Macaca mulatta: one gene and its partner. The main gene of each other region encodes a partner of the protein of the gene in region 2 in a complex. Links are inferred from orthologs where the notes say so. Each region holds a gene or a part of one and is shown on either strand. Other genes may lie near its edges. The genes, in order: TRADD and NGFR.

Region 1 (3,903 bases), on a different chromosome or scaffold from region 2:
GGCAGCGGGCGGGAAGCAGCCACCGGGAGCCCGCGGAGCAGGACGCGCGGGCGGACTAGGAGGCTCGGGCTAGGGCACCGCCCCAGCGCCTCCGCGCACACCCGGAAGCGGCGCGAGTAGAGCGGAGCCTGGCGGGCGTGGGAACCCAGGCCCAGCCGAGGCGGCCAGGTTAGTGCAGTTGGTGGGTGGGTGTGTGGGTGGGCTCCCCAGTGCGGGCGGGAGCGGAGGTGGATCTTGGCTCCGAAGCGTGGGCGCGGCGCAGATGTCACCAGCGGCTGCTCCAGCCAGCTGGTGGCGGCGGCCTATTGGGCTGTTCCCGTGGGAGGCGGGGGGCGGTACTGAATTTGGCCCCCGCAGGCTCTTCGTCCCTGCCAGCGCTTTCGAGGAGCAGTAGGGCCCCGCAGGAGAGAGGGTGGGGGAGGAGGGGTGGTTCTGAACACCTCCTTGAGCGGAGACCCCCCTGTCCACCCCAGCCGATCGCACGTGCGAAACCCCAGCTTGAGGGTGGGCTAGTGGGAGCCTGGGAAGCTCCCCTCCAGCGCTCGGGAGCTGCGTAGCTGAGTAGGGGGTGTGCCCGGCGGGTCGCAAGGAGTCGCAGGCTTTCATTTCTGGGCCACGCCCACAGGCTGTCCCTGTCCACCCAGCCAGAGGTGGGGCTGCCCCCGGGACTGTTAAGTGTTCAAGGGGCACCGTGCGTGGCTCGCCCCTGGAAATGGCGGCAGACGTTGTTAGGTCGGTACCCAAGTGCCCCACAGTCTCCGGCCACCAAACGTTCTCAGGACCCAGCCTGGAAGCCTCAGCCCCTCCCAAAAAGGGACGACTACGGGTGGGTGGGGCGCGGGGCTTCCCAAGGAGGGGCTTCTGTGAAAGAACACGTTAGAAGAGCTGCCAATCGGCGGATGCGAAACTAGGGCCCTGGCCTCTTTACCCTGTTAACTCGACCTCCAGCCTGGCTTACCTCCCCCATGGGTCTGGTACTAGTGAGTGTGAGGAAGCATCCCCAGTCTCCAGGTTCCCAGTACTCCCTGCCTCCCCACCCTCCCCTGCAGACCTGATGGGCAGACATTGGTCCCGTTTGGTCCCCACTTCCACCCCTTGGGGTGGGGCCACAACCATCGGGTCAGCACTCCCAAGTCAAGGGGCTAGGAAGACGTGAAAGAGGGAACGTTTCCAGGGGAGGTTCTCACTCTCTCCTACTCCCCAGGCCACTTTCCTAGGACTCCCCCTTATCTCACCTCCGTGGCTGGCTCCCTATCATGGACCCACTTGTCACCTGCAGAGTTTCCCACTTTTTCTTGTTTTGCTTTTAAAGAAAACAAATTTATTTTGCTCTTTTAATACAAAGAAAATGTCTCTACTTCACATAAAGCAGAAAATATTGCTAAATACAAAGAAAATAAAAATCACCCACAATCCTTCCCCACCCCCACCTCCCTCCCTCCATCCTGCCCAGAGATAAACAAAATGCAAATTTCCTGTTACTATCCAGACTGTGGTTTGGTGTAAGTACACAGTATTAATGTTTTCTATGAAAAGATTAGGAGGCCAGGTGTGGTGCCTCACACCTGTGATCCCAGCACTTTGGGAGGCTGAGGTGGGCAGATCGCTTGAGCCCAGGAGTTTGAGACCAGCCTGGGCAACATGGTGAAACTCCATCTCTACTAAAAATACAAAAACTAGCCAGGCTTGGTGGCGCATGCCTAAAGTCCTAGCTACTTGAAAGGCTGAGGTGAGAGGATTGCTTGAGCCGGGAAGGTCAAGGCTGCAGTGAGCCGTGATAGTGCCACTGCACTCCAGCCTGGGTGACAGAGCAAGACCCTGTCTCAAAAACAAGAAAATTTAGAAAACAAAGGTCGAGAGTAGTGGCTTACTCCTGTAATTCCAGCACGTTGCGAGGCCAGGACAGGATAGCTTCCTGTTCCTCATGTAAACAGATGGCAGCTGGGGCCACCCCATCTGTCCTGCCCCATAGCTAACACTCAACACTCCTCCTAGCCCACCATATATAAACCCTGATGACTGGAGAGTGCAGGAGTGTGACTGATGGGGCAGGAGGTAGGGCCTTGATCCCATGATTCTAGGAAAAGGGTAAGGTGGGGAGAAAGAGGGAGGGCAGTTTCTTACTTGCTGTCTCATGGGGTAGTAACTGGGAGACCACTGAGCTGTGGGTCAGTGCAGTGGTTCCCTGGCTGGGAATTTTGCCTCAGCTGGTCCAGGGCTAGGTTTTTGTCAGAAGATGGAGGAAGGAGATACTATGCTAGCACCAAGGGGCCCTGGCTTTTTCTGGACAGGGAAGGAATAGAACAATTTGTGTTGGAAATGACCAGAGCCGAACTCCAAGGGCTTTACAACAAAAAAGGATTATTTAGCTCACATAACTGAAAAGTCCAGGGTGCAGTGGCTTCAGGAACAGCTGGATCCAGGGGCGTAGTATGGTTGGGAATGCACTGCTCCATCTCTTGACTATTTCTTTCTGTGTCAGCTTCATTCCCAGCCAGACTCTTCCCAAGCAGTATTAAAGGAGAGCTACCTCTTCCTTCCAGTTCAGTCCCAAGGGAAGGGAAAGGAGTGCCTCTTTCCTATTGGCTCAACCAGAGTTGCAGGGTTGATTCTCATGGGTCCAACTTAAGTCCTACACCCTGCTCTGAACTAATCACTGCAGAAATGTGAATGGAATGTGCAGATTAGCCAGGTCTGGTGCACAAGCCCGACCTGAAACTAGGGAGTGGGACACAGGCACATGGATTGAGAAGAGGGAGGAGGGAAGTCCCTAAGGTAAGTCAGGCTTTCAGGAGGGAATCTGGGTAGATGCAAACTGCAGGTGTCCTTCAAAGTGAAGACAGGAGGTTTAGTCTTAGGCTGAGGTCCTCCAGAGATGCTGGGCTCAAGTCTACTCAGAAGGCAAGGCCAGGAGCATATGGGTCTTGTTGGCTTTGGGGCATGAGCACCATCCAGCATGAAGATGTCTCTGGTCCATGGTGGTTAGAGAGACACACAGGCCTGAGGAGGAGGCAGAGAAGCCCCACTGCAGAATCTGCCTCTGCTCCCCTCCACTGTGACCCTGGGCTCTTTCGCTGAGAAGGCAGTGGAGGGACAGTCCTCACTGCAAGCGTGGGGTGGGTGGGACTCAGTATAGGGCCAGGAGCTCAAGGGGCTTCCTGTGAGATGGTGAACTCCTGTCCCAAGTATGCCAACCAGTGGTGGGGACAACTGAACCATGTGGGACTTGAGGTTACTGTGGAGACGCTGAACCACGTGGGGCTGGACGGTTGTCTCCAGGGCAGAGGGAGGGGGGATGAACTGGATACCCGACTGTCTGCATCTCCAGGAGGTGAGATGGCAGCTGGGCAAAATGGGCACGAAGAGTGGGTGGGCAGCGCATACCTGTTTGTGGAATCCTCGCTGGACAAGGTGGTCCTGTCGGATGCCTACGCGCACCCCCAGCAGAAGGTGGCAGTGTACAGGGCTCTGCAGGCTGCCTTGGCAGGTGCGTGGGTGGGCGGGCATGTGGAGAGGAAGGGGTGGCCTGGGGCATTTTGTGGGTGGGCCTGGGCTTAGCCACCTTTAAGGAGAAGATTTAGGGTGGGAGGAGCAAGACAGAGGACCCCTGGCTGTGCAGGCTCTCTTCTCTGCTTGTGGCATGACCTTGACGGTAGACGTGTGTCCTCGTCTGTGTATGATTTACCTATTTGTGCACTAACATCTCTTGCTCCCTCGCCGCCCCCCTCCACCAGCTGGCTCACTCCTTTCTACTAATTGTGGATGTCTCTCTCCTCTTTTCCTCTCTTACTCCAGCACTCCTTGCTCAAGACCCCTCCCCAGTACCTACCCTTCCAGGCCCCCCTTTCCCATCTCAGGGCAGAGGCCACAGGAGGCTGAAGCGGGTTGGGGGATCTGTTCGTG
Region 2 (3,803 bases):
AGGCATGGCCAGACCAGAGGCGGCGCTGACTCTCGGGGAGCTTCCCTCATCTCTCCAAACCCCTCTGATGAGGGCAGGAGGATGAGATCCAGATGTGGCCATGTCCACTAGCATTCCCCCGTACTAAGCCCTTGGCAGGTCCTGACAGCCATTTCCGGGCTGGATGGAGGGACAAGATTACCCCTAAGCAAAACGAATTTCACTGGGGCAGTGGGGAGCCCTTCTGCCCTAAGGGTGGGTGAGTCACCATGTTGACACCTGAAACTTATATGCAGGGGGGAAAGTATGGTAAGCTGGAGGGGAGGGGGCACCCAAACCAAGAATCAAATTCCATTTCCTGAAATGGTCCCTCGTTCCAGAGCTGACATTTAACCCTTCAGAGCCTGAAGCTGAAAGGGGAACAAGGTCCAGGATGAACACATTCCCTCAGGAGCACCCTCCTCCTTTGGGGTGGCTGGGAAAGTGGGCTGGGATCTGAGAGGAATCTGTGAATGCCCCAAACCACAAAGCCTGCTCCTCCCGCAGCCACCACCTTTCTTTGCTCTGCAGCGCCCCTAAGTCCCCCCAACCCCGCCCGCAGCTGGCTGGTCTGGACTTGTCCACAGAAATGTGCTGCCCGCTTCCCTGACGCCTGGCTGCTGAAACCCTCCCTGCGCTCTGCCTGGTGCCTGATGCCACTTGCCTGTCTCCTGGCCCAGGGCAATTGCCACCAGAACTACCACATCCTACTCCTACTCCTCATTCCTTCTCCAAGGCAGGCAGCTTTGAGTTCAACCTGGCCTTAGCCCAACAGCCCTCCCCATCCTGAGCTCCTAAAGCCAAAGATCACAGGACTTGGAAGGCAGGTGTGGGATGTTGGAGCCCCTATCAGACTGGAGGGTCCCCAGGGGCAGGAGATCAGGTGCTGACTGAGGCAGAAGCTCTGCTGCCTCCATCAGAATGGGGGATTTCTAAAGTGAGGGCTGTCTCTCCTTCAGCTGGGGACTAAGTGCTGGGACCACGTCTCTCTCATTAGACTGGGCGAAGGCTATCTCTCCCATCGAACTGGGGGCTCACTGAAGGAGGTGCTGTATTGCCTGCTCAGGGTAAAAGCAACCTGAGGATGAAGGTTAGGTCTTAAAGGGAAATAGCTCAATGTGTGCATGGCCACAGGAGGATAAGCAGGATGTAAAGGCGCTGCCAGCCTCTCCCTGAAGTGGAAAAGCCCACCCGTCTCCCGAGACGGACGTCACCAACCAGAGACCAAAACAGCTCTGCCCTGGCTCCCATGGGGCTTCCTCCTCCCATCCCTGGAATCACCCCATCTCCTTTGGGCCTGTGCCTAGCTAAGGGCACACTCAGCTCCCATTCACCCCTGGAACTGACAGCCACGAGCATGCACTCCCTTGTCCCCGGGCTTTTGAGCCCCAGGTCTGCCCCCCCTTCTTCCACAGAGCCCCTCCTTGGTGTTCCCTGCACGCCCCTCATCCTTCACTAAACTGCAAAACACGGTTGACCCCTCCCCTAGACAGGGCAAGCTGAAGTGGGCCAGCCCCACTGTGCTCCCTAACCTGCAACAACCCTGGCAACCATATGACCAGTGAGGAAACTGTGGCCCAGAGACAGGAGTGGACTCCCTAATGTCAGATAAGGACAGGGTGGGTTCCATCTCAGGTCCCAGAGCCAAAACCCACCATGGACCTAGACCAGGGCTCAGAGTCAAAGGGTCCCAGCTCCTGAGGGTCCTCCAGCTGTTCTTCCAGTTCAGAAAGCCTGCCTCATGGATCAGACCCCTCGTGTTCTGTGCTGTGCCCTGGGGGTAGTGGCCACCTTCGAGCTGCTTGCTGTTCATCTAATCACTAGCGGGCAGTCACAGAGAAATGAGTCCCCGAGGATGAGTTACATGTAGTACCCGCGGCCTGGGACAATGAGAACCCCCCACTTTCCAAACACTTAGCCAAAAGAAGGAAACAGTGAGAGGGGTTCTCTGGTGAGACAGGATCGGGAACGACGTCCTCCCTCAGGTTACCAGGAAGGGACTGAAGCTCAGGGAAGGTGCACGCTGCCTTAAGGTCACAAAGCTGCCCCAGCAGGCCAGGCGGGGTCTTTGTCGACCTCCAGAGGGAGCCCTTCCTTATGCCCCCAGCCCACCCCCGCACCCCCTACTGCCGGCTCCCTAACAGCGCTCACCCTCGCACTCGGCGTCGGCCCAGCGTGTGCACTCGCGCAGCTGGCGCTCGGTGTCCTCGCACACGGTGCAGGGCAGGCACGGGTCCACGTGGTTGGCCTCATCTGAATACGTGCCGTCGGGGCACTCCTCGCACACGGTGTTCTGCTTGTCCTGGCACGAGAATACGAGGCCCGAGCCCGCCTCGCACACGCGGCACGCCTCGCAGCGCCCGGTCGTCTCGTCCTGGTAGTAGCCGTAGGCACAGCGGCACACGGCGTCGTCGGCCTCCACGCACGGCGCCGACATGCTCTGAAGCCCCACGCACTCAGTGCACGGCTTGCACGGCTCCGTCGCGCTCACCACGTCGGAGAACGTCACACCTGAGCGCAGCGGACACCAGATTTAGTCGTCTGCTCTTTGGGCACCCGGGACGCAGGAGCCTGGAGTCTCTCCCTCACCCACTGCCTGCCAGGACGCTGACTTCCTCCTTCAGCTTCGCCTTCTCATCGACTCCCACCCTCTTCCAGGGGACTTTGACCCCTAGCCTGGTGAAAGTTGGTGGCAGCCAATTGGGTAAGGGGAAGGAGGCCCGGAGCCGCTTCCTTCAGCCTCCAGAAGCACTGGCCGGCCAGGAGGGTTTCCCGGATAACCCAGCTGGTGCCAGTAAGTTTCTTGGCAAATTCTCTTTGAGACTTCCCAGGCCTGTAGGGTGTTCCAGCATGATTAACGAATAATCTGAACGTGGTTCCCACCCAGCCCTCCCCGCGGGCCAAAACTGGGCTGCTAACCCAGTCCAGGCAAGGTAGGCCTTCCCCTAGGGAGCCTCCTGCCTCATCTGCCTTCAGTTCCTCTTCACACAGGTGTGGGCTCAGATGCACCCTGAATGAGAGTGACCGGGGTTAGACAGCAGAATTTCCCACCCGTGGCGCTACCCCCACGCTGCTGAAGGGCTTGGCTCCTGAGGGTGGGGACGGACCAGCAGGCAAGAGGGTTCAGGTAAGGCAGGAGCCACTGAAGCTAGAGAGCTGGCTCTTAGCCCACACTGAGTCTCTCAGATGGATATTGTTGAGCAGTACACAAGCTGCACAACTGTATATGATCACCCCTTTGAGATCTGCACATGCGTCCTCTGCCCTTTCAGCCAGCATGCAAGGGAAATGTCCAAGCTCATTCTTCACTCATGTTTTCTTAATTAGTGGATGTGCACTCCAGAATAAGGAGAAGGAGGCCAGACATGCCAGGGTCCTTGCCTCCTTGTACAGGGAGGGGAAGGAGCAGGGCCAGATCTTCTTCACCCCTTCCAGCCTTGGGTGGAGAACTCTGTGCCAACCTGGATCTGGCAGAACCTATCCTTGCTCCAAGGACAGAAAGAACATAGATTTAGGAACCTGAGAACTAGGGAAGGACAGATTGTTCAGAATGTGGAAGCAGAAGCAGAAAGGCTAAAGCACCATTGGGGTAAACTGAGGCCTGTTGGGGGGTGGGGTCTTAACATTATTCAAAGGTGTCAGAGACAAGATGGAGCAAGGGGTCACTGGCTTGGGGGCTGTGGTGGGGGGATAGGGAGGCAAAGAAGGAAAAGCCAGAGAGAAGTGAAAGGGGCAGAATTGCGGACAGAGCCTGGGCGTGGTGGCTCACTCCTGTAATCCCAGTA

What was found.
Region 1: the proteins of NGFR (region 2) and TRADD are in contact, whole or in part, in an NMR structure (PDB 7CSQ), measured with the Homo sapiens proteins. The link is inferred for Macaca mulatta from reciprocal best matches to the Homo sapiens genes NGFR and TRADD. Residues at the interface, in NP_002498.1 of Homo sapiens: Glu345, Glu346, Glu348, Lys349, Leu350, Asn352, Gly353, Ser354, Ala355, Glu379, Ala380, Cys381, Arg384, Glu420; in NP_001310481.1 of Homo sapiens: Thr201, Phe202, Asn211, Ala275, Glu276, Arg278, Arg279, Thr281, Gln283, Arg284, Glu287.

The regions. Positions count from the first base shown.
Region 1 is NC_133425.1:62,699,236-62,703,138, reverse strand, and holds the start of TRADD (tumor necrosis factor receptor type 1-associated DEATH domain protein), read left to right. Parts: upstream 1-1,160; 5' UTR 1,161-3,165; coding exon 3,166-3,487; intron 3,488-3,903. UniProt on the Homo sapiens protein: Adapter molecule for TNFRSF1A/TNFR1 that specifically associates with the cytoplasmic domain of activated TNFRSF1A/TNFR1 mediating its interaction with FADD.
Region 2 is NC_133421.1:60,502,365-60,506,167, forward strand, and holds part of NGFR (tumor necrosis factor receptor superfamily member 16), read right to left. Parts: intron 2,530-3,803; coding exon 2,170-2,529; intron 1-2,169. UniProt on the Homo sapiens protein: Low affinity receptor which can bind to NGF, BDNF, NTF3, and NTF4. Forms a heterodimeric receptor with SORCS2 that binds the precursor forms of NGF, BDNF and NTF3 with high affinity, and has much lower affinity for mature NGF and BDNF.